4 linked regions of the Pelodiscus sinensis genome follow. The protein of the gene in region 1 purifies or fractionates together with the protein of each later gene. This does not show direct contact. Links are inferred from orthologs where the notes say so. Each region holds a gene or a part of one and is shown on either strand. Other genes may lie near its edges.

Region 1 (7,379 bases):
TCAGGGTCTCATTTACTGTTCAAGACCCTATCCCAAAATCAGGCAAATTTTCACTTACATCAGGACTCCAGATTGAAGCATGAATCATATACAAGAGAGGGCCCAATGCCCCTTATGATGTTATTTGACTATGTATTTACTATCTTTACCATACATTTTTGGTTTATACCATATTTACACGTTTTTATTGCAACAGATGAGCAAAGCACCCCAAGGCTTATTTTGTACACCAGTTTAGTACAGTTATGCCCAGGGGCAGATGACTGTTTTGCAGGGCCCCGGGCAGCATAACTCCGCGGGGCCCCCCTTTGCCACGGCGCATGCTCGGGGCTTTTTTAAGCGCGGGGCCCGGGGCGGCCGCCCCGTTCACCCTGCCCTATATCCACCCCTGGTTATGCCTATGCCTCCTAAGATGACGTGTCTCTTTGCACTGGCAGCTCAGGACATGGGTCCTGATCCTAGAAACAGCACACAGCACCTTGACTGAAACCATGTCCCAGCAGGCTGGCCTGGTGTGGAAGAGCCCATAGCAGAGAAGGGGGTACACATTATAATGCCATTATCTCTTCCCAGTTTACACTGCAAAAACCAGCTTATTGTCTTCGCTCTAGCTGTGCTTAGGTCCCTTCCCTGCCATTCAAAACACCTTCCCCATGTCCTTTCATGCCCCCAGAGGTCTTCAGCTTCTCATCAGCCCATACTGAATAGCCTAATTTAGTCTTTTCATTTCTTCCGCCCATACTTCCAAGTACAACAGTAAGCAGCAAAAGGTACAAATGCCTAGGCAGACACACAGCTTCCCACCTCCTTACCCTCAGCCTCTATACCAGTCCCCCTATGTCAATATCCGGCTCCCTGCCCTCTCCTCTTTGTAGCGCTCTATATACTTCAGCTTCCCCACTAGCTTGAAAAGGCATTCTTTCTCATCTTCCCCACCTCGGGAATGGTCTCCTTTCTGTGCCTCCACAATCCTCCCAGTGGGGAGCAGTGGCCTGGAAAATGTGTGTGTGGCCACACTGTTACAATGGGGGAGCAGTAGTTTTGATGATATGGAGATTAAGGTGTCCACTTGAGGGGTAATTAAAAAAAATTTTGTTTCTGGGCCTGCGATTGTCTGAGGCCTCCTCAAATGCTGGTGGGCAATCTTTCCCTTTGTTCCCCTACCCCTAAATGTCTGGTCCCACGTGCAGAAGCCTCCTGGAGCTTTTCTAGAGATGTTAGATAGCAATTAACTGAATAGTTGTGTAACTCCACAAAATATTGATTACTTAAGTATTCGATAGTCCCCAGGGATGGGGCCCACAGCCAGTGTGCTCTGATAGCAGCAACCTCTGTCCATGGGGGGCCTGAGCTTCCCCCACAGACAGAGGCTGCACCGACATGTCACAGAGCAGCCTCTGTCCGCTATCAGCCTGGGCCTACTGGGGACAGAGATTGCTCCGCAGCAACCTCCCCTGGTCCTCTCTCGCTGCCACCTCAGATAAGAGGCAACAGTATGGGGGTGAGGAGGCAGGTGGCTCCACAGAGCTGGTACGTGAGGAAAGCTGGCTTAAAAGCCAGTTCCGCACATGTATCAGCTCCTGCCTGTCTGCTCCAGATGCCATGTTCTGCTCTGCTGCCTCTGATAGAGAGGCAGCAGTGTGTGTGTGAAGGGAAAGGGGTAGCGGCTTGCATGAGCCCATATGCACTGGGATCTGGCTTGAAAGCCGGCCTCTTGCGTGTACTGTCTCCCACCTTCCCCCCCCTCCCCACGTCTCGTATCTGCCTTTCTATCAGAGGCAGCAACGCTGGCGGTGGGAGAGGAGGAGCAGGCAGCTCCCGTGCTGGTTCGCCACGGCACCAGCTCCTACTCGCCCCTGTGATATAGAGGCAGGGTGTGTGTGTTGTTGCTAAGAGTAACACACAAACCCAGGCAGAGTGTGTGTGTGTGTGTAGTTGCTAAGAGTAACACATAAACCCAGGCAGAGTGTGTGTGTGTTGTTGCTAAGAGTAACACATAAACCCAGGCAGTGTGTGTGTGTGTGTGTGTGTAGTTGCTAAGAGTAACACATAAACCCAGGCAGAGTGTGTGTGTGTGTAGTTGCTAAGAGTAACACATAAACCCAGGCAGAGTGTGTGTGTGTGTGTGTGTAGTTGCTAAGAGTAACACACAAACCCAGGCAGAGTGTGTGTGTGTGTGTGTGTGTGTAGTTGCTAAGAGTAACACACAAACCCAGGCAGTGTGTGTGTTTGTGTGTGTGTGTAGTTGCTAAGAGTAACACACAAACCCAGGCAGAGTGTGTGTGTGTGTGTGTAGTTGCTAAGAGTAACACACAAACCCAGGCAGAGTGTGTGTGTGTTTGTGTGTGTGTGTAGTTGCTAAGAGTAACACACAAACCCAGGCAGTGTGTGTGTTTGTGTGTGTGTGTAGTTGCTAAGAGTAACACACAAACCCAGGCAGTGTGTGTGTGTAGTTGCTAAGAGTAACACACAAACCCAGGCAGAGTGTGTGTGTGTGTGTGTAGTTGCTAAGAGTAACACACAAACCCCGGCTTATCGGTTAGCCGTGTAGTCACGCTGACATCGGTACCTCTCCCCACGGGCTCCACTCCCCCGGCCCTCCCTCCTCACCCCCTTGGCACGGGCCAGGTCTTTGCCTTACAACCCCACAATCCTCTCGGGGGCCCCACCCCGCCCCACCCCACCCCTCATTCCCTAACCCCTCCCCCCCCGCTCTGCTGCCAGGGCCGGCTCCCCCAATCTCCCTGGGGGCCGGCTTAGCCCCCACTCCCCGCCCCGCCCCTCAATCCCTCCACCGGGCGCAGCCCGCCCCGCACGCGCCCCCGCTCTCGCCTTCATGCGCAGCAGGTTCTTGGACAGCCTGGTCTTCGCCTCGGCGGCCATCGCGGGGCCGGGCCTGGAGGCCGCGAGCGATCCCCGCCCCTCTGCTGCCGCACGAGCCGCCCGCAGCCGGGCCACGCGCACAGGCCGCGCCGCCGGAGCTGGAGCGGCGGGGCGGGGCCGGGTTTCCGCCCGGGGCCTCTGCCGCGCACGGGGGCGGGGCCTTGTGCGGGGCGGGGCCGCGCTGCGGAGGCGGCTCTGCTGGGGGGGGGGGGGGGTCGCAGCCCGTGCAGCCCCCTACCCGAGCCTGGCACATACATGGGGGGGTCACACGTCATGGATGGGCAGTCCCCTACCCGAGCCTGGCACATACATGGGGGGGTCACACGTCATGGATGGGCAGCCCCCTACCCGAGCCTGGCACATACATGGGGGGGTCACACGTCATGGATGGGCAGCCCCCTACCCGAGCCTGGCACATACATGGGGGGGTCACACGTCATGGATGGGCAGTCCCCTACCCGAGCCTGGCACATACATGGGGGGGGGGGGTCACACGTCATGGATGGGCAGTCCCCTACCCGAGCCTGGCACATACATGGGGGGGGGGTCACACGTCATGGATGGGCAGTCCCCTACCCGAGCCTGGCACATACATGGGGGGGGGGTCACACGTCATGGATGGGCAGTCCCCTACCCGAGCCTGGCACATACATGGGGGGGTCACACGTCATGGATGGGCAGCCCCCTACCCGAGCCTGGCACATACATGGGGGGGTCACACGTCATGGATGGGCAGCCCCCTACCCGAGCCTGGCACATACATGGGGGGGGGGGTCACACGTCATGGATGGGCAGCCCCCTACCCGAGCCTGGCACATACATGGGGGGGGGTCACACGTCATGGATGGGCAGTCCCCTACCCGAGCCTGGCACATACATGGGGGGGGGGGTCACACGTCATGGATGGGCAGCCCCCTACCCGAGCCTGGCACATACATGGGGGGGGGTCACACGTCATGGATGGGCAGTCCCCTACCCGAGCCTGGCACATACATGGGGGGGGGTCACACGTCATGGATGGGCAGTCCCCTACCCGAGCCTGGCACATACATGGGGGGGGACACGTCATGGATGGGCAGCCCCCTACCCGAGCCTGGCACATACATGGGGGGGGACACGTCATGGATGGGCAGCCCCCTACCCGAGCCTGGCACATACATGGGGGGGGGTCACACGTCATGGATGGGCAGCCCCCTACCCGAGCCTGGCACATACATGGGGGGGGGGGGTCACACGTCATGGATGGGCAGCCCCCTACCCGAGCCTGGCACATACATGGGGGGGGTCACATGTCATGGATGGGCAGCCCCCTACCCGAGCCTGGCACATACATGGGGGGGTCACACGTCATGGATGGGCAGCCCCCTACCCGAGCCTGGCACATACATGGGGGGGTCACACGTCATGGATGGGCAGCCCCCTACCCGAGCCTGGCACATACATGGGGGGGGGTCACACGTCATGGATGGGCAGCCCCCTACCCGAGCCTGGCACATACATGGGGGGGTCACACGTCATGGATGGGCAGCCCTTCCCCCGAGCCTGGCACATACATGGGGGCAGGAAGGGGGGGGGTCAGACCCCATAGATAGCCAGCACCCCAGCCTGGCTCACAAGGGTCGGGACTGGTGGAGGTCACATACAAAAGATGGGCACGTCCCTCATTCCAAGCCTTCAGCGGTGGGAGGGTGGGTCTTGCCCATGTAGGGGACCATAGATCATTCATGATACAAGGGCCCTGCCCCATTCTTCCCCAGTCCTCCTGTCAACCACTCTCTCCTTTCCTATTCTTCCACTTTTGCCCCTCTACATGCCTTAGTCTTCCTCCTTTACCCATTCCCCATCTCCCAGTTCCTTTTTATTCCTACCTACTCTCCCACCCCAAGCACCCTCCCTACCAGCAAACATTTGCTTATGTAGTTTATTTTCTTTTCAAAGCACAGTTTTAGCACCTTCTCGGTATTTTCAGATTATATTTTCCAAAATAAGAATCCCCATTTGACAGAAGGAGATTGGAGCAATATTTCTGCTTTTTTTTTAAACTTGAGATTTCTGCCCAGAACTGGATTCAAATCTCCCCATACTTGGGGTTCTATTCAGATTTAATAATTGTTAGATCCCTTCAGAGCCACACAAATTCCAGAGGTCAATATTTCCCCTTAATAGTTATCCTTTTCTCTCTGCATATGCTTAGTGTACTCTATTAGGATTACAAATGGACTCACAAGCCTTAGCGTGCCTGGCTGAAGAAGCAAATCTTTTCAGACAACATTTTAATTTTTCTTCCCCGCAAACTATGCCTGTATTTCCCCTCTATGGTCCCTTAAGAGACCCATTCCAGGGTGCTAACTCTTCAACCATCGTTTCTGTTAAGTAGAGACCTGCATCTCTCTCCTTGCTGACCTGGCTTTTTCCTGGTCTTCACCATTCCCAGTAAGACAGACTGCTTAACCAAGCCATTGTGCTTTGCTTTTTCTTTAAAAGCTACACACAGTGTAATTGCCTTTATTCTTAAGGTGAAAGCATAACAGAGAAATCTTATGAAAACGGCAAGAGTTCCTAATATGGATGCAAAAGCTTGCTAGAGGTCACCTATGAGTCTTATGGGGTTTCAGTAGGTCAAAGTCCTTCCAACCCTTCCCAGGAATGACCGGAGCCTCCCATAGGCAGAAGGTCCTGTCCATTTGCTGGATCAGAAAAAAGGCCATTTATCAGTTTAAACTGAGGCTATTTATCTAAACTTCTTTCTTTGTCACTTAGTCTTTGGGAAATCTAGTTTGAACTGGTATACCTGTGCCTCTCCAGTAGTGTTACTCCTCTGGAGGTGTTATGACCTGAGTGAATTTGCTTAAGCACTCCCCATTCCTTCCCTGTTCTCAGTTCTTAATTCCAGGGGAGGAATAACATACAGTCCAACCCACCATGATACATACATTTGAGATCAATTAAGATAGTGGAGGAAATTGCCCTACTTGTCTTAGGTACCTTGCACTGCTGGGTGTTTGAGACCCTAGTTTGATCATTATTGGCCAGCAACAAAACTTTGTCAGAATGTGAGCTCTTTTTTTTCTTCTGGTGGCTCTTTTGATTGCATCCTTTCTATATTCAGTTGATGCACATGTCAGTGTGCTGATCAGCAGTGAAAGTAACTTAAAATTAATTACAGGTGTTGTCCTGTTGCAGCCTGTGTCCCTGCTCTTTAAATAGCTCCCTGCTGGCTTTTGCTGCAGTTCAGCCAGCTCTTGCTGAAGCTGTGAACCTAGGCACACCTACTTACTTTCACCTCTGGTGCTGATGCCTGTGACTTCATTGAACATCATGGAGCCAAATGTACTATAATTTACACCACAAGATTGTCCTCTAAACCCTTTTACTAGTTGTGTGTGGTCCCATGGCAATGGTGGGGAAGATGAGGCAATTTTCCCACCTTAAATACATGGGTAACCATTCCCATACATGGACAACTAGAACGTGAGGCTTTGCAGTCTCTGAAGCACAAGAATTGTTCCTTGCTTGCACCCCTTGTGGGATGGGGAAGTTTCTAGGCCAGCTCAGCTGGGAGCTCTACAGGAGTTGTGCCATTCCAGAGCTCCTGCTGTGTAAGTGCATCTCTATACCCACTGTCCACTGTTTTTGCCCAACTGAGCCTCAACTGGTGTAAGTAGTTGTATAATGATTTACACCAAAAAAAGATCTGTCCCAAATACATTCAGGTCCAAAGTGCTCTGTTCTGAAGTCAATACAGTATGGTTCTGTCTATTTAGAGAGGCAGCAATTTGTAAAAAAGGTACCTCAATCTATGTAGACAGATAAAAAGCATCAAAGAATATTTTTAAATTGCATCTCTGAGCATTTATACCCTTAATTGGTCGGTGAGGATAGACAGCAATTGGATGTATTTTGGGCACGATCATGCTGTGTATTACACCGATTAAGCACTCCATTAATTGTAGTGAATATCTTCACAATGTATACTTGTGTCAAAGAGAGCAGAATCTGGCCCTAGCTCTTCAACCTCTGATGATATGAGGTTAGTCTTAATGAAAGAGATCAAAAAAGTGGCTCTTGTGATGTGGGGTAGGAGGGTTATTCTGAATGACCCTTTTCCCAATTCTGGCAGCTAAAATTGCAACTCTGCTTTCAACCTACGAATGCAAAAGAGAATAGCTCACTGAAACAGCACAGGAGAAAAAAAAGTCCAAATCATCAAAGATTCTACATTAAACGGACAGATCAAAGATGTTATTTCCTAGGAGACAGAGGGTCTTTTTTTCAGTGAATATCAAAGTTAAATTAAAGTTTTAATTAACATTATTTAAAGAGTAGTTTCTCTTTAAACAATGTGAAATAGTTTTTAAGTGATCTTTGTGAACTAGGTTCGTGCCAAGTGGGTTTCAGCTTTAGATAATGCAAAGGTTACCTACCTGCTAATATTAATGCTCTCCTTTAAAAAGTGCATTTATGCTTCCAGAATGATTATAATTCTAGCACAATAT
Region 2 (7,901 bases), on another chromosome or scaffold:
AATTCAACATTATTTTTAACATAGAATGTAATGTTTCAGATTGTTTTCTGCACACTCCCTAAAATGACACAATTTTTCAAATCACAATAAAGTTGACCTAAGTTGCACAATTCCAGCTATGTGAATAACATAGCTGAAGTTGACATACTTTAGGTCGACTACTTGCAGTGTCTACACTATTCTGGTTTGATGGGATAAACTCTCCCATTGATTTATTTTATGCATCTTGTTCTAGTGGAGTACCAGACTCACTGGGAACACATTTGGCAGTTGATTTAGCAGGCCTTCACTAGACCCACTAAATCAACCACTGGTTGATTTATTGCTGCAGCATGGATCCACCTGGTAGTGGAGACAAAGGCTAAAACAGAGAACAGAAAAACTGAGAAGACACAATGTTCCACAACTAGAAACTGATACAACACTGTTTGCAGCACAGTTAATCTTTGACACAAGGCCCTCAAGTTTTGTTCAAACTAATGTTTTTGAAGACAAATTATGGAAAAGGTAACTCAGAACTTTTATTACATTTTCTAAGCCAACATAAATCGGACATATGTATGACAATTTACAAGCAGAAGGGTAATGTTAATGTCAGTATTCCTTGAGCTATCCCCAGTTAGCATAGACATAAGGGCTGTGTCTACATTGGCATGAATTTCCGGAAATGCTTAAAACGGAATACTATTCCATTTTCAGTTTTTCCGGAAAAGGAGCATCTACATTGGCAGGTTACTTTTCCAGAAAAGCCCTTTTTCCGGAAAAGCATCTGTGGCCAATGTAGACGCGCTTTTCCGGAAAAGAGCCCCGATCGCCATTTTCGTGATCGGGGCTTTTTTCCAGAAAAGACTACTGGGCTGTCTACACTGTCCCTTTTCCGGAACAGTGTTCCGGAATAAGGACTTATGCCCGAGCGGGAGCAGAATAGTTTTTCCGGAATAGCGGCTGATTTTGTACAGTAGAGCATCGTTGCTTTTCTGGAAATTCAAGGGCCAGTGTAGACAGCTCACAGCTTATTCCGGAAAAGCAGCTGATTTTCCGGAATAAGTGGCCCAGTGTAGACACAGCCAAGGGCTAGACCTCACTGGCTCAGGCAATACAGGCAGTCCCCGGTTTACATACAAGATAGGGACTGTAGGTTTGTTCTTAAGTTGAATTTGTATGTAAGTCGGAACTGGTACATATTGTAGGGGAAACTCTAGCCAAACATTTCTCCAGAGCTCAGTTTTATTCTCCCACACCTCACTTCCCTCAGTTCTTTATTCTTAAGCTGAGGTGTCTGCTGAGAAAAGCCACTCCGCGTTTCCCTGGTCTGCTGGGGGGAGGGGGGACGACGCGCTAGCTTCGCATCTCCCTGGTCTGCTGGGGGGAAGCAGCTAGTGTGGGGTTGCCTCACCCCGTTTGTAAGTAGGGATCCGATGTAAGTTGGATCCATGTAACCCGGGGACTGCCTGTACAATCTACTGTGCCCCATTTAAAGATTGAGACACACAGGAGAGAAGCAAAGAGAGTTGGATCAATGCAGAAATCTTTCTTTCCCAAACACCTGGGACTCCTTGTTCAATCAGTTCTTACACTTAACTCCCATTTTCTTCTAACTGTCCTCAGATGGATTCCTCCACTCCAGCAACTCTAACATTTGGTCTTCATATTGATTAGGAACAGATTACAGTTGCTATGATTTCTACCAAGACTTTTCCTCTAACATAGACAAAGACCCACATTTCAAAATGCCTTAGCTGGCTATGACAACTCACTTTTTTGGCAAAACATATGATGCAATGTAACTCAGAACCATAACTGCTGTAAGGTTTAGGGATGTGGGAAGAATAATGTATTTCTGTAATTCATTGAAATTGAAAGAACTTTTCTGTAGCAAACTGCAATGTTACATTGAAAGTGAATAATTTGGAGAGAGGGTGTAGTGAGGTAGAAAGTTGGTCTCTCCCTTAACACTGTCTGGCTGCTAAAGGGCACAGTCCTATTACTGACCCAAACCCTTAATTCAACAGCAGTTACAGCTATTAAGTCTTTAGTTTTGAAATCTAGATAAATTCAGATAGAATGAAATATACAAAATCTAAGAATTAAGTCAGTTTAAGAGGAGGGGAAAACCGAATGTTGATTTTACCATAGCGAGTAAGGGCCTCAATTACAATCCTATAAATAATTCTGCACAAGCATCGTGCTATAAGTATGGGGAGCCCCAGTGAACTCACTAAAATTAGTCACAGGCAAAAAAAAGTGCACGTGCCACGTGCTTGCAGGAGACAGGCCCTCGATTGCCAAGACCACGAATGACAAGCGGTGGGTGGACATGCTCTGCCAGGGAAAAGTGAGAGTTGGGGGGGAAGGGGCGGTGTATTTCGTCCCCGCCCCCACTCCCAAGGCGGGCTGTTGAGAGCAGGCGCTGCAGACAGGGCGGGGGGAGCGGCCCCTCACAGCCGCCAGGAATCGGTTCCCAAGCTCGGGCCTGGCAGAGCTCGGGGCCCGGCGTGCGGCGAGTAGCCACAGCCAGGGGGCGCCACATGAAGGCTAAACCCTCTGCACCCGGGCACCGCCCGACGCCGCTGCGACCGCCGGGCCTAAGGACTCGGCAGCAGCCTGGGCGAAGCCGCAGCTCCCGCTGAGGTGACTGAAGGCGAAGGCCAAAGAGCTTGTTCGCTCAGTCTCTTACTTGAATCCGGCCGCCATAGTCCCGCTTCCGCCCCTGCGCGATCTACTTCCGGTTCCGGGGGGGACGCACTTCCGTGCCCCTTCCTCCCCCATCTGCCCCTTGGGCGGATGCTGGCCGGGAGGGGCGGAGGTTTCCCGGCAGGGGGCGCTGTGGGGCCCGGGCGCTCTGAGAAGCGGCTCCTCTCGTCGCAGCGGTTTGTTGTCAGGGCCGCTTCCGCCTCGCTGGAGCTGCCCCATAGGCCGCGCCCGGCATGGAGCATGGAGCCGCTCCTGGCTGACGTGGCCGCCGCGCTCGCTGCCTTGGCAGCCGCAGCCCTGAGCCTGGTGAGTGCGGCCCCTGAGGGGCATCGCGCCGCTCACGGGGCAGCCCCCGACTCAGCTGAGAGCCCCTCGCTGGGCGCGGCCCCGCCCCCTTCCGCGGGGGGAGCAGCCCAGCGCCCCGACCGGCAGCGGGACGGGACCCCGGCGAGGGGCGCTGGGCGGGAGGGGCCACGCTCCCGCTCCCCCGCACGAGACTGCCTGGGGCCACAGGCTCGGCCCGGCCCGGATGGGCGGTCGCAGCTTTAGACCCGCTGCAGTGTGGGGCTGGAAGGAATCTCACAAAGCCCAGCCCTTCTCCCCGAAGCTAGACCGTGTAACCCCTCGACTGTCCCTGACGGGCAGGTCGAGTGTCCAGCACGCTCTTAATAATGGCCCAAGGTGGGGATTCCACAGCCTGCCTGGGAAGCCATTTCTCTTAATATCAAGCAGTTCTCCTTTGCTGCAGGCCACTACTTTTTGTCCTTCACAGGATGTGCAGAACAGTTGTCCCTTTTCTTACAGCCCTTAGCGTATTTGAAAATTGTTATCAGGTTGCCCCTCAGTCGTTTTTTTAAAGATTAAGCAAGCCCAGGTTTTTTTGTTATCTGTACTTGTAGGCCAGGATTTCTAAGCTTTTATATCATTTTTGCTGCTCTCCTCTATGTTACCTGTAATCATTGTAGCATTTAGTTTGAGGATAAAACTACACTTTTCCAATTTTAAGAAAAATTGAACCATTTAAATACTGTATTTTGTTCAAAGAATTTGGTAGCTGTGTTAGAGAAGCTAGCAGGACACATTAGTAAGTGCAGGCAGTGTGTGTGTGTTGTTATATGACATAGATGTAAACAGTCCCTGCCCCAAATTCATTACAGTCAAGAAGATGAAAATGAGGGGGTGTCTAGATTACATGCATCTGATGAAGTGGGTCTTTGCCCACGAAAGCTTATGCTCCTACACTTCAGTTAGTCTATAAGGTGCCACAGGACTCCTCGTCGCTTTTGTAGACTACATCTGTCTTTCAACAGGATCTTTCAAAAAAAGCTTCTATTTTCGAAATTACCGTGTCTAGACTGCAGTTTCACTTTTGAAATAGCGCTTTTTCGAAAGAGCACCATGACACAATTATGCAAATGTAGTGCAGGAAATTCAAATCCTGGCTTCATTTGCAATTTCGAAGTGTCTAATTGACATGAGATTTCAGACACTCTGGAGACTCAGAAGTAGGATATATGACATGCAAACATATTACCTATATATTTAATACATTTTTCTCCTCTTTCCTTCTTCACTTACTTTTGTAAGTCATAAGATTTCATTCCACAGAGATGTTAAATGATAACATCCATAGGGATGTTAAATTTTGATTAATTAATTAATCGAATAGTTGATGGGATTTCCATCGACTATTCGGTTAGTCGATAAGAACGTCCATGTTCCACCTTTGAAATGCACAAGAGCCCCCAAAGGACTCCCTGCTATGAAAGAGGCAGCAAGGGGGCGGAAGCGACTAGTCAACTAGTGTGTCGACTATTCGCTAACTTTTGCTTATCGGATAGTCGATTAATCACTTACATCCGTAATTCCACAGTTACTGAAGTTTATGATTACTGCAAATTATGGTGGCCTATCTCTTAATTCAGCAGTATTTCTTTCTAGTTAGTCTGCTCGTAGTGGTAGTGTTGTGTGAGTTATATGTGTGTGTGTATGGTATTTTTAATGGAAAACAAAAGTTGTTACTTAATTGCATTATTTAATATCAGTTTTATATGTGATAAGATTTGCTTCTTGTATGGACTTGCTTAATATTAGAGATGTTGCTGCTAATGCTTGCTATGCTCTAGATTTTTAGTTAATTATCAACTAATGCAGTGGGTATAGCTACAAGATTTAGAACTGTTGTGCACCAGGGTCTAGAAAATGTTCACTGGGTCAAATTTATGGTGGCCTTTTCTAGTTGAAAATTTCATTTGCAACTTGCTGGGAACCTGGAGCCATATCCTGTGTAGATAAAATGGAACCACTAAATGCCATATAAAGACTATAAATCATAACCGGTAAAGTTCCTTTTTGATCTGTGCAGCAGATAAAAGAGCACTCCTCAATGGACCCACTTTACCATGGTTGTTAGAGCCATCCTATCCATAGGGTGAGCTGGGGCAGCCGTCCAAGGCCCTGTGCTTTGGAGAGGGCCCTGCGGCTCCTCCATCCATCCTATGGACAGGAGGTACCTGGGAGATTATGGGGCTTGGGAAGGGAAGAAGCAGGGCTTGTAGGATGGGGCTTACCTTGGGCTGCACAAATGGGGTGAGGGTTTCCCCAGAACCTGTGACTCCTTGGGATGACCCTGATGGTGTAATAGGAATGACTTTAAATTACTCGAATGTAGACCACAGATATGATTGACCATCCTTTGTTCAGTAAATTAGAATAGTTGAACACCTAACCAAATGTGGTTATGCAAAAAATGAATATAGCATTTGCTTAATGCAACATTGTCATAAATACCATTTCTGTTTTTTCACAGATTACTATTGTTGCCCATATAACTGCCACAAAAATGCCAAATCTTCATCGACATGAAGAAGAGAAGTTCTTTGTAAATGCTGAAGGGAAGAAGGAATCTATACCAAGCATACATGACCCCCCTACAAAGGAGCTTTCTGTTGTTGTGCCTTCATACAATGAGGAAGACAGGTGTAAGAATATTTCTTGGTTTTCTTTTTGAGAGACAAACTAAGTTTTGTGTTGCTGGTGAATGTCAGCAACAGAAAATTGCAGATTATGTAGCCATTTTGCTTACCAAGTTTTCAGGTCGCAATCAAGTAAATGGAGTTGTGCATGTAGAGCTTCTATAGAGTCCAGACATGCTTTTTTAGTGACAGAAATTAAACTACTTTCTGCAAAAAACAATTTTTACTAAAACTGTGTAAAATAAAGGTAGACATTTATTAACTAGGTTGCTGAAAGATTACAAAAGCCACTTTAAGCTGGTCTTCAGTGACTCTTAAAGTCAGTATGGGAGGTTAGGAGTAAAAATATCCATATTGGTTTTTTTTAGAATTTCACACTCTGGAACTTATAGCAGGGGCTTTAATCAGGCAGAAGGAAGGAAGAATGGTCTTGTTTAGGAGATATGGATTCTATTCCTGGCTTTACCATGTACTTCCTGTATGATCTTGGGCAAGTAATTTAGCCTTAACTTATAAAGGTCCTTCTGATGTGAAAGAGTTGTAAGCTGGAGGCTGTCTACTTACTGCTGGCACTGCAGATCATGTTGTTGTCTTATCTGTCTCACTGCAGTAAGAGCCACCAGAAGGAGTATGTATGTATTGTCCTTGTCTATAAATTGATCGGCCACAAGAACAATAGGTGCTGTCTCGGGGTATGTTTAAACTGCAATGAAAAGCCAGCTGATGTGGGCTCGTAGGGTTCGGGTTGCAGTACTGTTTTATTGTAGTGTAGACTTCCCAGCTTGGCCTGGAGCCTGAGCTCTGGGTTCCTCCCACCCTGCAGGATGTGCCTGGCTCTAGTCTGGGGGATGGGATGGGATGGGAGGGGAGGGGAGGGGAAGGGAAGGAAAGGAAAGGAAGGGTGGTTGGGTTCGGGGGGGGGAGGGAGAGGCGTGTGCACGGTGTCCCAGCCAGCACATCTCAAGGCCGGCCACTCAGCGCACACACCCCGGCACCTGGAGGGAGACGCGTCTAGCTGTTAGTGGCGGCTCCACCTCCAGGACCTGAGAATTAGATTAGAGTGGGGGGGAGGGGGATTGGTATTGAGGGGGGCCCGTGCCTGGCTCTGGGGAGGGGAGAGGAGGATTGGGTTTAGGGAAGTGTGTGTTCCTGACTCTGGGGAAGGGGAGGAGTATTGAGTTGGGGGGGATGTTCCTGGCTCTGGGGAAGGGGAGGGAGATTGGGTTAGAGCCCGGGGTGGATCCTTGGGGGAGGGAAGGGGAAGAGCAGGCAGCAACTTCCTGAGACCCGGGATCCCTAGGTACTGGCCCCAGCTGTCTCTGTCCCCTCCTCCTGGCCAGACCCCCCCCCCCCCCCCATGAGTACCCTGCCCCAGCACCCTATCCGCTGCCCCCAGCAGCACAGTTGGGGCCACATTAGTGAGGGTTGGGGGGTTTGGGAGGAGTTGTTTTTTTGCATCTCACTTTTGTGGCCCTGACTGACTTTTCTGTGGGTCAGTGACCCCTGACTCAAAACAGGTTCCCCGCCCCTCTCATAAATAAAGACAATGCTGAAACATTTTGTGTTTGACATATTTTATTTAAAAATGAAGCCTGGCCAACAAGCCCCCAACTGGGGCCAGTTCTCCATCTGGCCTCAGCATCATAACACTCTTGCACCTCCCTCCCCTCCAGGCCCCAACCTGAGCCTATCATTCACTGGAACCCCCTGTCCTAAGCCTCTCACATCCCCAAACTCCTGCACACCCTCATCCCCAGTCTTCTGCCACAACACTCCTGCACCATCCACACCTGCAAGTCTGTGTCCTGAGCCCATCATACTCTCAGCTTCCCTGCCCTGATCCCCTCATGCACCCCAGCCCAAACTCCTGTACCCTCACAGCAACAAGCCTGTGGCTTGCTCAGCACCCCAAGACTCCACCTGACCCCAACACTGTCCAGCCTAGAGCCCTCTCCCTGAGCCAGCATCCTCTTCTCTACTTTTTCCTGCACTCAAATTCCCTCCCAGAACTTGCACCTCTCACCCTTTCCCAGTGCTTCTTTTTGTGAGTCACAATAGCAGTGGAGACAGCATGAAGAGCCGGGGTAAAGTTGTTGAGCCAAAAAAAAAAAAAAGGCTGGGCTGCAAAGACTTGGGGAAAAGCTATGAAAAAAAAAAAGCCGTGCCCTGGGACGGATGTACCAGCACCTATTGTCCCCCAGCGCAGCTTTTTTTTTTTTTTTTCTCTCTCAA
Region 3 (7,260 bases), about 38 Mb from region 1:
ACCTCTGGAACAACACTAACAGCTGTAATGCCTTCCCCTCTAGGATAAGACTCAAATCCAGCCCAGTTATTATCATGTGCTTGCTGTTCAGTCATTATGATGAAACTGTTGCCTTCAGTCCAGTTTCAAAGCAAAGATTTACATAACTGGCCCCTTTACATAGGAGTAGAGCTGTTATGCACAAAGCTATCCTCTTCACAATAGGGGAACTCAGAGCTGGAGAGTGGGCAGTAAGAGAAAGCTAGCCCTGCTAGTATGGAGTTTTAGTCTTCAGGACATCTGGGGACATCACGGATTTCACTTGGAGAGTTTTCTAATCAAAGGGCCCATTACAGAGCAGAGGACCCACATAGATCAAAGCCAAGAAAACATGAACTTCCCAGTAAGAAAATTTATTGTAATATAAAAATGTTCTCCAGTCAATCAATTCTCTTTGGTGGAGAGTTACAAATGGGTCTTATATATTAACTAGAGTTCACTGGGCAGTGGTTTCTGACTGGTGCTCAGATTTTAGTCACCAAAGTATACAACCAAACCTTTCCATCATCACTTCTGTTGGGAACCCATCCTCCAAATCAATACAAACCAGGGGCTGGGTGAGTTACACATTACAGCAGATTCAGGATAAAGGCTCTCTATCAATTTCTCCTGTTGTAGTCAAGTAATAACATTTACATTAACCCCAGAGAAAGAAAAAAACTGCATTGGTACCTGTCCATTGTATTGAGAATTTGCGTTAACTGGCCTCTTTGGAAATTAAACACTGACATGCAATAAAGAACCCATGCTAAGCAGAGCAGCAACCAAAGAGGAAATGGAAGGTCCCGATTAAATCAAAATAATTACACTAGCAGATCTCTCAATTTTTAGGGAAAGTGAACTGAAAACCAGGAAAAATGCAGTCGTGATTTTCTGGGGGAGAATTAAGATATAATCAACATGTCACCAAAAAAAAAAAATCACTGAGAAACATTTTAAACCATCTAATAAAACAGACTGCTTGCTGGTCAACAGTATTTCTTGCCATTTCGTAGGAATCAGGTGGGAGTCAATAGAAACAATTTAAAATCTCAGGCAGGAGGGGGAGGGTTTTCCCACGTCCCCCTGAAGCACATACCAAATACATTTGTGCACACCAACAAATCAAGGCAGTCTAATCCTACCAATGGAAAGATTCAACTGCCTCACATTGTTGCATGCAGCCAATCACCTGCAAAACAGTTTACCTCTCATCTGCTGAATTGTGTTAACCATAAAGTACAAACCCCATTTCTATTATACTTAAAAAGCCACTTAAACAGTTCTATGGTGGATGGTAGCTGCCATTGGATGGGAAGGACTTGCCCTAAAAGGTTTGCCACAGTTTGTCAGTTCTGCAGTGCTGACTTGCATCTGTAAAGTCTCTTCTACAAGACATCTCCAGCTCACCCCACCTGGTGCCAGCATAGAGAAGAAAAGCCACAAGGAGATCTCCTGCATATGTTCAGTCTCCAGATTCTGGCTTTGCTTTCAGTCCCGATATCGGTTGAAATGTTCACAATTTTGCCATGGTGCTGGTGAATTTCCCTCTGGGTGCAAAAGTCCATGATATGTTCCTCCTTGGTAGAGAGGCCCCATTCAACTCATATCCCTTGCAAGGTGGAGCAATGTCTGGGGCTCTGGTCACACTGCCTCCTCGTGGGGCTTTCCAGAAAGTGGCTACTCCGTGGATCAGGCCCCTTAGCAGTCCAGTCGCAGGGGGGTGAGGTTGCCGCGCTGCTCCCCACACTGGCGATGGGCCAGGTCTTGAGCTAGTTTGGAGGGGCTGCTGCCCAGCACCAAAGGGGGCCTGATCTCATCACAGATGTACTGGTGGGAGGGCTGTGCCACTGAGACCTTCATTAACTCCCGGAAGGGGGGGCTGGCCCATAGTCTGCATTACAGGCTCAGCGAACTGGGAGGGGGCCGTGATTGGAAAGGGGTGAGCAGCTGGCGCCTGTTGGGGGCCCTCGGGGGCGCTTCAGGGAAAGGAGCCTGGCGGGCGGGCCGGGGAGGCCGGGCGGGCCCCTTAGGGCCGGTCCGGGCGGGCGGGGGAGGAGGCCGGGCGGGCCCCTCAGGGCCGGTCAGGGGGAGGGGGCCGGGCGGGCCCCTCAGGGGGAGGAGGCCGGTCCGGGGGGTCCCGCTCGGGGGGCGGCAGGCCCCGCGGGAGCCCGGCCCGGCGCTCGGCGGCGCGCAGCAGGCTGCGGCGCAGCAGCGGGTAGAGGCGCTGGCAGCCCTCCACGCCGAGGCGCACGGCCTGGGCCCAGCTCTCGGGCGGGCCGCCCTGGCCGCTGCCCAGCAGCCCCGCCACCTGGCCCAGGCCCGGCAGCAGCGCCACGGTGAGGCGGGCGGCGGCCGCGCGCTCCTGGGCCGCGCTGGGCTGCAGGCGCCAGGCGGCGGCGGGCCCGGGCGCGCGGCACAGGCCGCAGCCCACCACCAGGTCGAACATCTCCACGCCCGCGTCGGCCAGCGCCAGCGCGGCGGCGCAGAGCGCGGCGGCCAGGCCCGCGCCGCCGTCCTGCAGCAGCAGCGCGGTGAGCTCGAGGCGCGCGCGCGGGTAGCGGGCCAGGCGCACGGCCGGCGCCAGCGCCTCCTGCAGCGCCAGGCCCAGCTCGCGCTCGCGGGCGGCGGCGGCGGGGCCGGGGCGCGGGCGCGCGCCGCGGGCGCAGAAGGGCGCGCGGCGGAAGTCGCAGAGCAGGCGGCCGCGGCCCTCGGCGGCCTCGCGCGGCCCACGCACGGCGCACAGCACCTTGGTGCCGCCGGCCAGCTCCACGTAGGCCGAGCCCTCGGCCTGGCTCAGCAGCCCGGCGCGCGCCAGCAGCGGCCGCAGCGCCCCCGCCTCCGCCTCCGCCTCATCGGCCGCCGCCGCCTGGCCCGGCGCCGCGTACAGCAGCGGCGGCTGCGACTCCTCGGGGCCCGGCACGCGCCGCGGGTCCAGCGGCATGGCGGGGCTGGGAAGCGGCGAGGGGGCGGGGCCAACGGTAACAGCAGGGGGCGGGGTTAGCGAGAGGGCAGGGCCAACGGTAACAGCAGGGGGCGGGGTTAGCGAGAGGGCAGGGCCAACGGTAACAGCAGGGGGCGGGGTTAGCGAGAGGGCAGGGCCAACGGTAACAGCAGGGGGCGGGGTTAGCGAGAGGGCAGGGCCAACGGTAACAGCAGGGGGCGTGGTTAGCGAGGGGGTGGGGCCAACAGAGCAGGGGAGGGAAAAACAAGGAGTGGTCTGGCAGCACTTTACAGACTAACACAGCGGAGCTGGGCTCATGAGCCGGGCACAGCGGGGCGCAGGTTCAGCTGGAGCTGGGAAAGCTCACCCCGCCATCCACACTTGGTTAGTCTCTGAGGTGCTATCAGATTAGTCCTTGTTTTTCAAGTTTTTCCAGCAGGGAAGGGTGGCAGGAGAGAGGGGAGTTAGCAAAGGGGCAGATAATGGCAAGGTGGGGAGGGCAGGGGGCTAGTGAGGGGGCCAGCAGCAGGGGAGGAGATTAGCAAGGGGGCCCAGTGATAATGGTGGGCAGGGCTATTCAGGGGCTGGCAGTAGGGAGAAGCCCCATCCTATCGCTAACTCTACTTAAAGCCAAACACCCTCGCCTCCCTCCCTGCTCTCCACTCACTTCATGCCCCCTTCCTGTTGCTCACTCTCCCTATTCTCCCTCACATGCTCACTCATTTTCACCAGGCTAGGGCTGTGGCTGGGGATGCAGACTGGGATAGGGTAGGGGTGAGGGATTTGGGTTGCAGAAGGCTGCTCTGGGTAGGATGTAGGGCAGCAGGGAGATCAGGTTCCTGCCAGCATTTACCGCAAGTAGCTCCCACAAGCAGAGCCATCTCCCCACTGGTGTGAAGGGCCCTGGCTGCCCTTAAATGTAGATGCCAAAGTGGGGAACAAAGTGTTGCTTCTGGGAGCCACACAGAGTCAAGGCATTAGCCCCACTGCATAGACTTTTAATGGCTGGTCAGCAGCACTGAGTGGTGCCAGGATGGTTCCTTTCAGCTGGGTGTTCCAGTCAAGATCTGGACACCTGACAACCCTAGTTGACAAGGGGGGCTTGAGTGGTAATGGAGGGGGAGGAGGCTCACATGGGGCTAGGAGAGGCTCCTGAGTGGGAACAGTGACCCCCCAGCTGAGGAAGCATGAGGCTGACAGTGTTCCTACAGCCTCCCTGGAGATTCAAGGTTACTGGGCACTCCCTGAGGTAGGGTGTGTGAAGCCCCCACTGACAGCAGGCACCCTTGCAGTAGCTGTGGGCCATAGGTCAGTGCAGGCCAGTGCTCCCACCTGCCTTGTCTCTGGCTTTTGCTCCCATGCAGAGTAGCTCAGCCCTGTCACCTCTGACCATCCCAAGGCTGGCACTTCAGAGAATTACAGAGAATGTGGTACCAGTCACTCCTCTGCAAACTTCCTGTATTATCAACAGCTGGTAACAGTGGTGAGGTTCAAAATACTCTAGCAGGTTGGATCCCCACCTTCGACACCCAGCCTCATTGCAGCTCATGCTTCCAGTGTAGTAACACAGGGGTGAAGGTGGTACACACAGACTCTTGGCTTTGATGCATGTTAATTTATTGTAGAAGTGTGACAGTATTTGCTAACAATTAGCACCTTGGACTGTGCTCTGCAGACTTTACACCATTAGCTAGTTAATCCTCACAGTAGCCTGGGAAGTAGGTCAGTACTGTCAGCTTGACTTTAGACAAGGAACAGACATAGAGAGGATGAAAGTGACATGATTCAACACAGGCTACCGGGAGACCTCATCAGAGCTGGATTAGGACACAAGCTGTTGATTCTGCTTTTAGTCTGCTAATGCCTCAAGCAAATGGATTCAGAAGGAATGAGGAGCAGAATCCATCTTCACAAGCCCCACTACACTGTAACCTATCGGCCAGGCTGAGGAGAGTTGAGGGCATTCCTTGATGTGCTGAGAGTCAGTGCAGGGGCACTAGGTCAATTCTTCAGCTCACCAAGGTGGAGCTTGGCAAAGTCTGTGGCCAGTTTCAGAGCCTCCTCTAGGCAGTCAACATTCTTTCCTGTAGCTTGGGCAGATACATCTTTCCCACCGCCTTTGCCATCCATCAGACCCGTCACCTCCTGCACCCACTGGTTTGCCTTCAGGCCCTTGGTGGCTAGCTCCTGGAAAGCAAGAATTCAGATTCTTTTAAAGACAGCAGGTTTGGAGTGACTGCTGGGGAAGGCAGGATTTCCAGGCTCTGTGCTGTGGCTGACAATGCCAGGGAGGGAGGGAAGGAAGGAAACGTCTTTTCCAGGCAGGTGAGTGGGTTTGAATCAGTGGCTCTCAATCTTTCAAGATCACTGCCTATTGTGACAGCAATAGCCTCAAAGGGTCTTCTGTGATCGCACCCCCTTTCAGGAGTCTGATTTGTCTTGTGTACTCCATGATTCACCTCTCAAACATTATTTGTTTTCAAAATCAGAGCTACAAAAGTCAAGGCCAAGCCCTGCACTCGCAGCAGTAACCGAACAAAACCCACCGACCCCACCAGAGGCATATGCCATTGGACATGTGGTGTAAGGCTGAAGGGGCAGTCAGAGACAGAACAGGAATCAGAAGAAACACAGAGTAATGCTTCTTCAGAGCCCCTCCTCAGTGGAAGCTGCTCATTTCATGTTTCTATCCCTGTCTCCACACCCCATCCCCAGGAGCCAGGGTCAGGAGCAGGGCTACTGCTACTGGAAAGGGGCGGGGGGAGGGGAGATGCAGATAGGGAAGAGGCTGGAAGGTGGACTTCCCTGTGCATGAGGGGTGCAAGAATCCTGAAGTACGCCCCCCCCACCAGTCTGACACTCCATCTGAATGGCTGCAGGGCGGCACAAGGAAGGGCACACACACAGTACTACCTGAGGTACTTGGCATAAGCAAGTGATCTTCCCAGCTTCGCTATCCACAGAGAAGAGCATGGCCGCAGTCTGAGGGGAGTAAGCCTTGAACAGCTTCAGAGATTCATTCAGGGCCTGTGGAGACATGCACACCGAGTCATGGCAAGAACCAGCTCCTGACACCACATTGCAGGCTCTCAGATCCCTCTGCAGCCACAGCCAGGACAGTCCCCAGTGGCCCTGAAGGTACGAGCTGCATAAATTGGTGAAATGATCTAAAATCAACAGGATGAAATTAAATAAGGAGAGAAGTGCTCCACTTAGGAAGGAACAATCATTTCACACACACAGAATGGGAAATGACTGCCCAGGAAGGAGTGCTGCAGAAAGGGATCTAGGGATCACAGTAGATCACAAGCTAAATATGAGTCAACAGTGTTGGAAAAAAGCAATATTCTGGGATGTATCACCAGGAGTTTTATAAGCAAAACACAAGACGTAATTCTGCTCTACTATGAGCTGATTAGGTCTCAACTGGAGTAGTGGGTCCAGTTCTAGGTACATTTCAGGAAACATGGATATACTGGAGAAAGTCCAGAGCAAAAAAAATATATGTATATTAAAAATCTAGAAACCAACTATGAGGCAAGACTGAACAAATAGGCTTGTTTAGTCTGGAGAAGAGAAGACAGAGGACCTGATAACAGTTTTCAAATAAATAAAAAAGTGTTGCAAAGACTGTAGAAAAATGGTTCTCCTTAACCTGAGGTCAGGACAAGAAGCAATGGGCTTAAACTGCAGCAAGGGAGGTTTAGGTTGGACATTAGGAAAAACTTCCTACCTGTCAGGGTGGTTAAACACTGGAATAAATTGCCCAGGGAGGTTGTGGAATCTCCATCCTTGGAGATATTTAAGAGCAAGTTAGATACAAACCTGTCAGGGATGATCTAGGTAATGCTCAGTCCTGCCATGAGTGCAGGGTATTGGACTAGATAGCCTCTCAAGGCCCTGTCCAGTGAACAGAAATGGGCTGCAAGAAAGGTGAAGGTGGAGAGGCTTCACTGACTGGGAAGAAGTCCCTAAGCACCAGGCACATAATCTTCCCAAAAAGAGATGGAGCGCCCTCGTTCAGAGAAAGAACTGGTGCAGTTACACAACTCCCAGGACAGGCTGTGCGGATGCACAATCCCCGGGACACCTCCAGCAGCACCCCACAGAGAAAAGCACCTGGACTCTGGAGCTAGAACGCAGATGCAGCATTTGTGCAGACTGCAGTAATGGCCCCAAAAGAGAATTCTAGAGCAGTGGTTCTCAAACTGGGTCAGGCCCCCACTTCCATGGGGTCACCAGAACTGCTTAGACTTCCTGGGGCCAGAGACGGAAGTTCAAGGGATCCCCATCCTCAG
Region 4 (7,078 bases), on another chromosome or scaffold:
CTGTAGACTTGAAAATGTTCCATCTCTCTCTCTGCTGTTTGAACTCTGATAGGGCCACAGGCTTTAAACTGAAGCAGAGATTCCCAGAGGTTTCCCCTAAATCTGCCCTGAAGGACACTTGGAATTGACAGATTATTACAACATTCGTACTTTTAGGATTTAGATAATGGTTCATTTGTGTGTACAGGCTTGCTTATTTAACTTACAATGAACTCATTTCCTTTTCCTAGTTAACAAACCTTTAGATAAAACTTAAACAACAAACGGTCCTGCCGCACCTTAGAGACTAACAAAAAAAATGTAGATTGTTTCATGAACTTTCAAGAGAACAACCTACTACATCTCTGAGACTTTTAAACCTTTAGATAGCTTATTAGAGGATTGGCTACAGGCACTGTCTTTGGTGTAAGTTCTAGAGTACCAACTAAGGATGTTAAGAGATGGGTAACTGACTAATTGTGTAGTCGATACAATTTGTATTGACTTCACGATTAATTGATAAGGGAAGGTGCTCAGTCCCAGCTTGTGCTGGTTCAGGAGCTACCCTCACTGCAGCTCTGCAGTTTAATTGTAGGAGCCAGGTGCACAGGCAGAGCTGCAGTGGTCCCTGATCAGCACAAGCTGGAATTGCTTGGTCCCAGCTTGTGCCAGGTTTGCAGTGGGCAGAGCCTGCTCTGTGGCAGCCTCCCATGTCCCCTGCTGCTGTCTCTATCAGTGGGGATAAGGGGGCAGGCAACACTGGGGAAAACCAGCTTTTAAGCCGACTCCTGTTTCCTCCCCCTTGCTGCCTCTCATGCAGAGGCACTAACGGGGATGGGAAGCGACAGGTACTACTCGCCTACATCCCTAGTATCAACTGATCTGGGGTAAATGATTGTCTTGTGGACTGAAAGCAACAAAGCAACTTGAACATGGTGTGATTTTTGGTGTAACTAACTATTTATCATTAAGCTCCTCTTGTCTGGGTGGCAAGATAAAGAATGTCTAAGGGAACTGTCTATGATCCAGGTGTTCATATTTGTTACTGAGTTGGTGACATTTAATTATATAATTCATCACCAGTTTAACATGTCTGCCCTGTTTCATAGTCTGCCCTGAGTTAGGTACTATAGTCGAGAGCCACTCAAGACAGCACGACAGTCACATTTTGTAAGAGCCTGTTTTATGTAACCTGAATTCTAGGCCTAAATTGATCTCAGACTCTCTCTTTGAAGAGCTATTCTATCACAGAAGTGCCATTTCCTCCCTGTGACACAGCTGCACACCCTCTGTATAATGAATGGCAAAATCTGGCAACTAATACTGTGATAGTCAGTGATCAAAGGAAGAAAATCCCTCCCTCTGCCAGGGTCCAACATAAAAGCTAGGAGAAAAGGCAAAGAAAATGTTTGTACATTTCACTAAAAATCTATTATATACCAGAACATCTTTTGACTAAGATACGGATAAATATATGAGGAAATTTTAATTGTCAATTTGCAAGAAAGTGAAAACACAGTATTTTAAGGGCTTTGATAGTGCCAATATATATATATAACAAAATTACCTGCACATTTGGCCTGTTTCTTTTGGTTGCACCTTCAAATGCCAAGTAGGACAAAGATGCTTGCTCACTTCCACCAACATCCACTTTGAATATATCACCTGCTTTGATAGTCACTATGCCTATCACATGATCTCCCTTGACTGGTACATACTGAAAATGAAAACAAACTTTAGGATTAAGACATGTAACAAGAGAAACATATCGTTCACGCGCACGCGCGTGTTTGTGTGTGTGAGGGCTCATTGGTTAACCCTCTCTGTAACGTGTAGCCCCCCCGCACTGCTGCTTCTGATACAGAGGCAGCAGTGCAGGGAGGGAGGACGGAGCCACTACCTCAGTGGTCACCAACCAGTAGATTGGGATCTACTGGTAGACCTTAGAGCCTCTGACAGGTGATCCTGACTAGTTTGGCCAGGAAGCTATCAAGCACTGGCACTTCAGTTGCCCCTCCACCCACTGTCATGCTGCTCCTGCCCTCTGCCTTGGAGCTGCTCCCCCCCCCCCCGCCGAGCCTCCTGCTTGCTGTGCAGGGTGTCTCTCCTCTCTCCACTTCCACAGAGAAAAGGGGATGGAGGGAGCTTGGCAATGTAAATCTGTCACTCTCCTACACTATGTGTGCCTGTCATTCTCACAGGCACACACTGTCCTTCACTTTCATCTCCCAACCCAAAACATACGTGTGTGCGGGGGGGGGGGGGTGATTTCTTTTACTGCTTGCAAAGCGTGTGATTTTGGGTTGTTGACTGGTCTGTGCATTTCATCCTTTTCATTTCTCTCTGAGTTTAAATGTAATTATTGGAGCAGCCAGTTCTAAAATGCCGAACCTACTGGAGTTATTACCCCAATGGCAACTGCTGCTCCTGGAAGTGGCTTAATCCTGCAACCAGAGGCGCTTCAGGGGCACTAGCCCTGCTCCAGTGAATCATGTCAGTAGCAATGGGCTCTGTCTTTAGCGCTTGTGCCCCGCCACACTCGCCCCTGGGGGGAGGGGCAGGGCGCAGACGTTGGGTCGATCACGCGGCGGGTTCCACGGAGCGGGAGGTAGCGCGCGCGGGGGGGGGGGGGGGGGAGGAGACGTTGGCCGCACGCGCCACCCGCCGCCGCGCGCGCGCGCTCACCCGCTTCTGCTGGGAGTCCACCCAGTAGGCGCCGCCCGAGCCGCCTCCGGCCCCGCCCGACGGGCGGTGGCGCAGCAGCCCGCACTTGGTGACCAGGAGCCCGGCCCCGCAGCGCCGCAGGCCCGGCCCGCACACCAGCCGGCCCGGCAGCGCGGCGCTCGCGCCCAGCCACAGCCGCTCCCCGCCCGCCTCGGGGTGCGAGGGCAGCAGCAGCACATCCCCCGGCAGCACCACCTGCCCCACGCGCTGCTCGGCGGGCAGGGCCCCCTCCTCGGCCGCCATGGTCGCAACGAGGGGGGACGCGTGCGCCGAAAAGCGGCGGAGGGAGGGGGTAGCGGGTCCATATTGCGCATGCGCACAAGTCTGGCTAGGGCCTCAGCCGGCAGAATGGGCGGGGACGTCACTCCGAACAGCCCCGCCCGGCGGCGCGTGCAAGCCCGAAGACCCGGAGTGAGGTTCCTGTAAGGAACTGGCTTGTACATTACCCGGCCTGCGGTAGCGCTGCAGGGGAGCAGGCCCGCTTGTTGCGATGGGCGGGTGCCAGCCGAACTGTGCACAACCCGCACGTCTCTGATTCGCCTGTACAAACTGCTAATGTTAAACTAGGAAGCTGGAGTTAGAAAACGGAAAACTCATGTCCCCCTGAATTGTTAACCACTGGCGACATCACCTGGCCAAATAAAGATACCAGGGGTTCATTAGTATAACTGTCAAATTGTCTTGCCAATTCACCTGCCAATTTTCTGCCATGATATTAAATAAAAAGAACCCCAAGGCTATGTCCGCACTGCAGGCTTCTTGTGCAAAAAGTTCTTGCGCAAGAGCGTGTTCACGCCCCCATGTGCTTTTGCACAAGAGATGTGCTTTTGTGCAAGAATGTCCATGGAGTGTGGACGCTCTCTTGTGCAAGAAAACTCTAATGGCCATTTTAGCCATAGGGGTTTCTTGCGCAAGAAACCCCTTTTCCCGTCCACACTGCTTTCTTGGCAAGAGCTCTTGCGCAAGAGGGCTTATTCCACAGGGGGGAAAGGAATAACTCTTGTGCAAGAAGCTCTCTCTTCTGATGCTTTACTGTAAATTTACTTGTGCAAGAACACACGTGCAATGTAGACGCTACGCACGTTTTTGCGCAAGAATAGGCAAAAACATGTAGACTTCTACATGGCAGGCTTCTTGCGCAAGAACTGTTTTGCGGAAGAGTTCTTGTGCAAAAGGTCTTCCACAAGAGTGCGTCCACACTGCCATGAGCTTTTGCAAAAGAGATGTGCTTTTGCAGAAGAGCGTCCATGGCAGTGTGGACACTCTCTTGCGCAAGAAAGCTCTGATGGCCATTTTAGCAATAGGGGTTTCTTGCACAAGAAATTCATGTTACCCCATCTACACTGCCTTCTTGTGGAAGAGCTCTTGCGCAAGAGGGCTTATTCCTTGTGGGGAAAGGAATAACTCTTCCGGAAGAAGCCCTGTTTTCTGACGCTGTACTATAAATTTACTTGTGCAAGAACACACGTGCAGTGTAGACGCTCTGCAAGTTTTTGCCCAAGTAGTGTAGACATAGCCTAAGTTTATTTGCTTATGAAAAACGTACCATGAACATCCAGAATACTGATGAAAATAGCATAAGATAGATGTAATAGAAAACTTTTAATTCTGGATTTCAGAAGTTTCAGGGCAGAAGAAATCCCACCCTTGGAGTAGTGAGCATGGATAGTATAGACCTTAGCCAACTGCCACAAACTCAGACTATGTGGGTATGTCTAGACTACATGGCTCCGTCGACGGAGCCATGTAGATTAGTTTACTAGACATAAGAAAATGAAGCGGCAATTTAAATAATCGCTGCTTCATTTACATCAAAATGGCTGCCACGCTGTGCCGATCAGCTGTTTGGTGGTACAGCGCGGTAGTCTGGACGCTCCATGGTCGACGAAGGAAGCACTTGTTGACCGCCCCGGTAAACCTCATTCTATGAGTCTTCCCTTGTCGACCGCAGAGCGTCCAGACTACAGTGCTGTGCCGCCAAACAGTTGATTGGCACAGCACGGCAGCCATTTTGATGTAAATGAAGTGGCGATTATTTAAATTGCCACTTCATTTTCCTATGTCTAGTAAACTAATCAACATGGCTCCATCGATGGAGCCACATAGTCTAGACATACCTTGTGTTTGTGCCTTCTCCAGTATCACATTCTGTAGATGCATCCCTAACCTAGTGCTAAAAACTGTGGCCCACTGTGCAGCGACAGGAAGGGGTCAGCTCCAGCCTCCCTGGGCTTCCTGCCCACAGGATATCAATTAAGTGGTTAACTGTAACATTTAACAAGTTAATTGATTAAATGGGATTTTGCATTCCTTTGTTTTGGGGTATCTTCTGGACAGAAGTGGATGCCTTATGCAATATGCTATTATGTACTGGGTCCTTCAGGACAAGGGGCTGATATTGTGGGGATGTAGGAGTCAGGGCAGGGCCTTGGGAATGTGTGTGTGTGGAGTTCTGGAGGCTGCGGGGGTTAAGAAAGTGAGGGTTGGGGGATAAAGGGAAGCTCAGGGTGGAGGAGGCCCATCTGGCACAGGCCTTTTCTCTCCCCCCTTAGATCTCCTCACTGCTGCCAGGGGCTGTCCCCTTTCCCCCGTGCTGTGGCCAAGGGCCAGGAAGAGGGAAAACAGTTTAAAGGATACTTACTTGGCTTGCTGGCAGGAAAAATGGCAGAGCCCCAGCCCTGCTTGTCACTCCCTTGATTGTACAGCTGCCCCCAGCAGCTACTCTCATATTGTGTCCCTCTGAACAGCAGTCTCTCCCTTTGCATGTTATGGAAAACTGTCCTTTTCCCCGGGCTTTCAATTGTCCTGGCACAACCAAACCCAGACCTTGCTTTAAGTTAGGTGAAGAGGGAGCTGCACTCCAAATTTGGTGGCACTAGCTCTTACCCTTTAGAAGGACTTCTTGAACAAATGGACTCGCAGACAGACACACACACACACACACTCTAAAATATATACGCAGATAAAGACGGAATGGATGGTGTGTGTTCTGCCATTTACCATCTTAACTGTAGTATGCAGTAACTACTTACTATGCAGTTTTAGCTAATTGTAGATTTAGGGTTTTCTTCCAGAATTCCACCTGACTTCAGGAGAAGTTACATTCAATTGAGGGTTGTAAATTACCTTTCTAGAGAAGCATAATTAGCTATAAAATAGCCTTCTCTTCCTCTCCCTTACCCCATCTGGAATTTCTTACATTATGAAAAGCCAATTTACAGGCTGACTGAAGCTCTTCTATTTAGAGAGAGGGAAGTCACATGCATAAGTGTGTTATGGTGTTTTAAAATCATACATTTTTATTGAGGAATCCCCCCCCCCAACAACTTTTCATCAACATTATTTTGACTGAATACATTAAAGAAAACATGATTTTTGACACTTCATTCAAATTGGTTCCAAAGTATGCATAATAATAATAAAAAACTATAGACAACTGAATGTACAGGATAAAAGGCTTTTAATATCTCAGATTTTAAAATATGATATGTCACAGGAGCGGTGTTAAACTTTATTAAAAACTTCATATAGTTTAAACAAATTCTAAATTTAGTATGTGCACAGTTGCAATTATTCAGAAGATATTTTATGCAATTATTTAACTAGAAATTCAAGATGCTGTTTAGGCAAAATGTAAAGTTGCCAGTTCCATTTGCCTTGTGCCTGAGTTTTAGCTAAAATCTAACCTTTTAAAAAACTGTTCTAAAGGATACACTATTTCCAAAATTAGCAATTACAGATATAGTAATCAAATTGGTATCTGTGGCCCATCATGAGCAGAAAGGAAGACTCTTTCGTACTCATATCCAGAGCACTGTATACAAGAAGACATTAATTTAGTCAATTCACATACCTTATTTTTTGTCTTTATATTAATTTCAGGTATTCACTGGATACATATTTGTCATGTGTAACTACTGTATCTTTGGTTTTCATGTCTTATTCATTCCTAGGTTTGCTGTGTTCTACAAGTCACCTCATCAAGCTTCATAGGAGCTTTGCTTGCTGTGTTCTCAATTAGGGTATGTCTACACTGCATTCCTCTTTCAAGAGGGGAATGCAAATGCAGCTGAGCGAAATTGCAAATGAAACGTGGATTTGACTTTCCCATGCTTCATTTGCATAATCGTGTCCGGGCGCTATTTTGAAAAAAGAAACCCTGTCTAGATGCGGTTACTTCGAAAGAAATCCCTTCTTTCAAAATTACTCTTAAACCTCATTTTATAAGGCGTTGGGGAATTTCGAAAGAAGGGTTTTCTTTCGAAATAACTGCGTCTAGACAGCGTTTCTTTTTTCGAAATAGAATATTTCGAAATAGCGCCTGGACACGATTATGCAAAAGAAGCACGGGAAATTCAAATCCATGCTTCATTTG

The links.
Region 2: the proteins of MPHOSPH6 (region 1) and EXOSC8 purify together in Homo sapiens (affinity purification with mass spectrometry; 4 studies listed by BioGRID and IntAct, counting the BioPlex papers as one, with this or other methods). This does not show direct contact. The link is inferred for Pelodiscus sinensis from reciprocal best matches to the Homo sapiens genes MPHOSPH6 and EXOSC8.
Region 3: the proteins of MPHOSPH6 (region 1) and EXOSC6 purify together in Homo sapiens (affinity purification with mass spectrometry; 3 studies listed by BioGRID and IntAct, with this or other methods). This does not show direct contact. The link is inferred for Pelodiscus sinensis from reciprocal best matches to the Homo sapiens genes MPHOSPH6 and EXOSC6.
Region 4: the proteins of MPHOSPH6 (region 1) and EXOSC3 purify together in Homo sapiens (affinity purification with mass spectrometry; 6 studies listed by BioGRID and IntAct, counting the BioPlex papers as one, with this or other methods). This does not show direct contact. The link is inferred for Pelodiscus sinensis from reciprocal best matches to the Homo sapiens genes MPHOSPH6 and EXOSC3.

The regions. Positions count from the first base shown.
Region 1 is NC_134722.1:10,611,472-10,618,850, reverse strand, and holds the start of MPHOSPH6 (M-phase phosphoprotein 6), read right to left. Parts: upstream 3,020-7,379; 5' UTR 2,884-3,019; coding exon 2,833-2,883; intron 1-2,832. UniProt on the Homo sapiens protein: RNA-binding protein that associates with the RNA exosome complex. Involved in the 3'-processing of the 7S pre-RNA to the mature 5.8S rRNA and play a role in recruiting the RNA exosome complex to pre-rRNA; this function may include C1D.
Region 2 is NC_134711.1:294,865,699-294,873,599, forward strand, and holds the start of EXOSC8 (exosome complex component RRP43), read right to left. Parts: upstream 3,012-7,901; 5' UTR 2,914-3,011; coding exon 2,678-2,913; intron 2,632-2,677; exon of another isoform or gene 2,437-2,631; intron 1-2,436. Other genes in the region: ALG5 (dolichyl-phosphate beta-glucosyltransferase), read left to right, coding at 5,537-5,675. UniProt on the Homo sapiens protein: Non-catalytic component of the RNA exosome complex which has 3'->5' exoribonuclease activity and participates in a multitude of cellular RNA processing and degradation events.
Region 3 is NC_134722.1:48,825,783-48,833,042, reverse strand, and holds EXOSC6 (exosome complex component MTR3), read right to left. Parts: upstream 3,010-7,260; 5' UTR 2,963-3,009; coding exon 2,093-2,962; 3' UTR 377-2,092; downstream 1-376. Other genes in the region: AARS1 (alanine--tRNA ligase, cytoplasmic), read right to left, coding at 4,964-5,149, 5,876-5,989. UniProt on the Homo sapiens protein: Non-catalytic component of the RNA exosome complex which has 3'->5' exoribonuclease activity and participates in a multitude of cellular RNA processing and degradation events.
Region 4 is NC_134718.1:14,179,704-14,186,781, reverse strand, and holds the start of EXOSC3 (exosome complex component RRP40), read right to left. Parts: upstream 3,004-7,078; 5' UTR 2,947-3,003; coding exon 2,665-2,946; intron 1,697-2,664; coding exon 1,547-1,696; intron 1-1,546. UniProt on the Homo sapiens protein: Non-catalytic component of the RNA exosome complex which has 3'->5' exoribonuclease activity and participates in a multitude of cellular RNA processing and degradation events.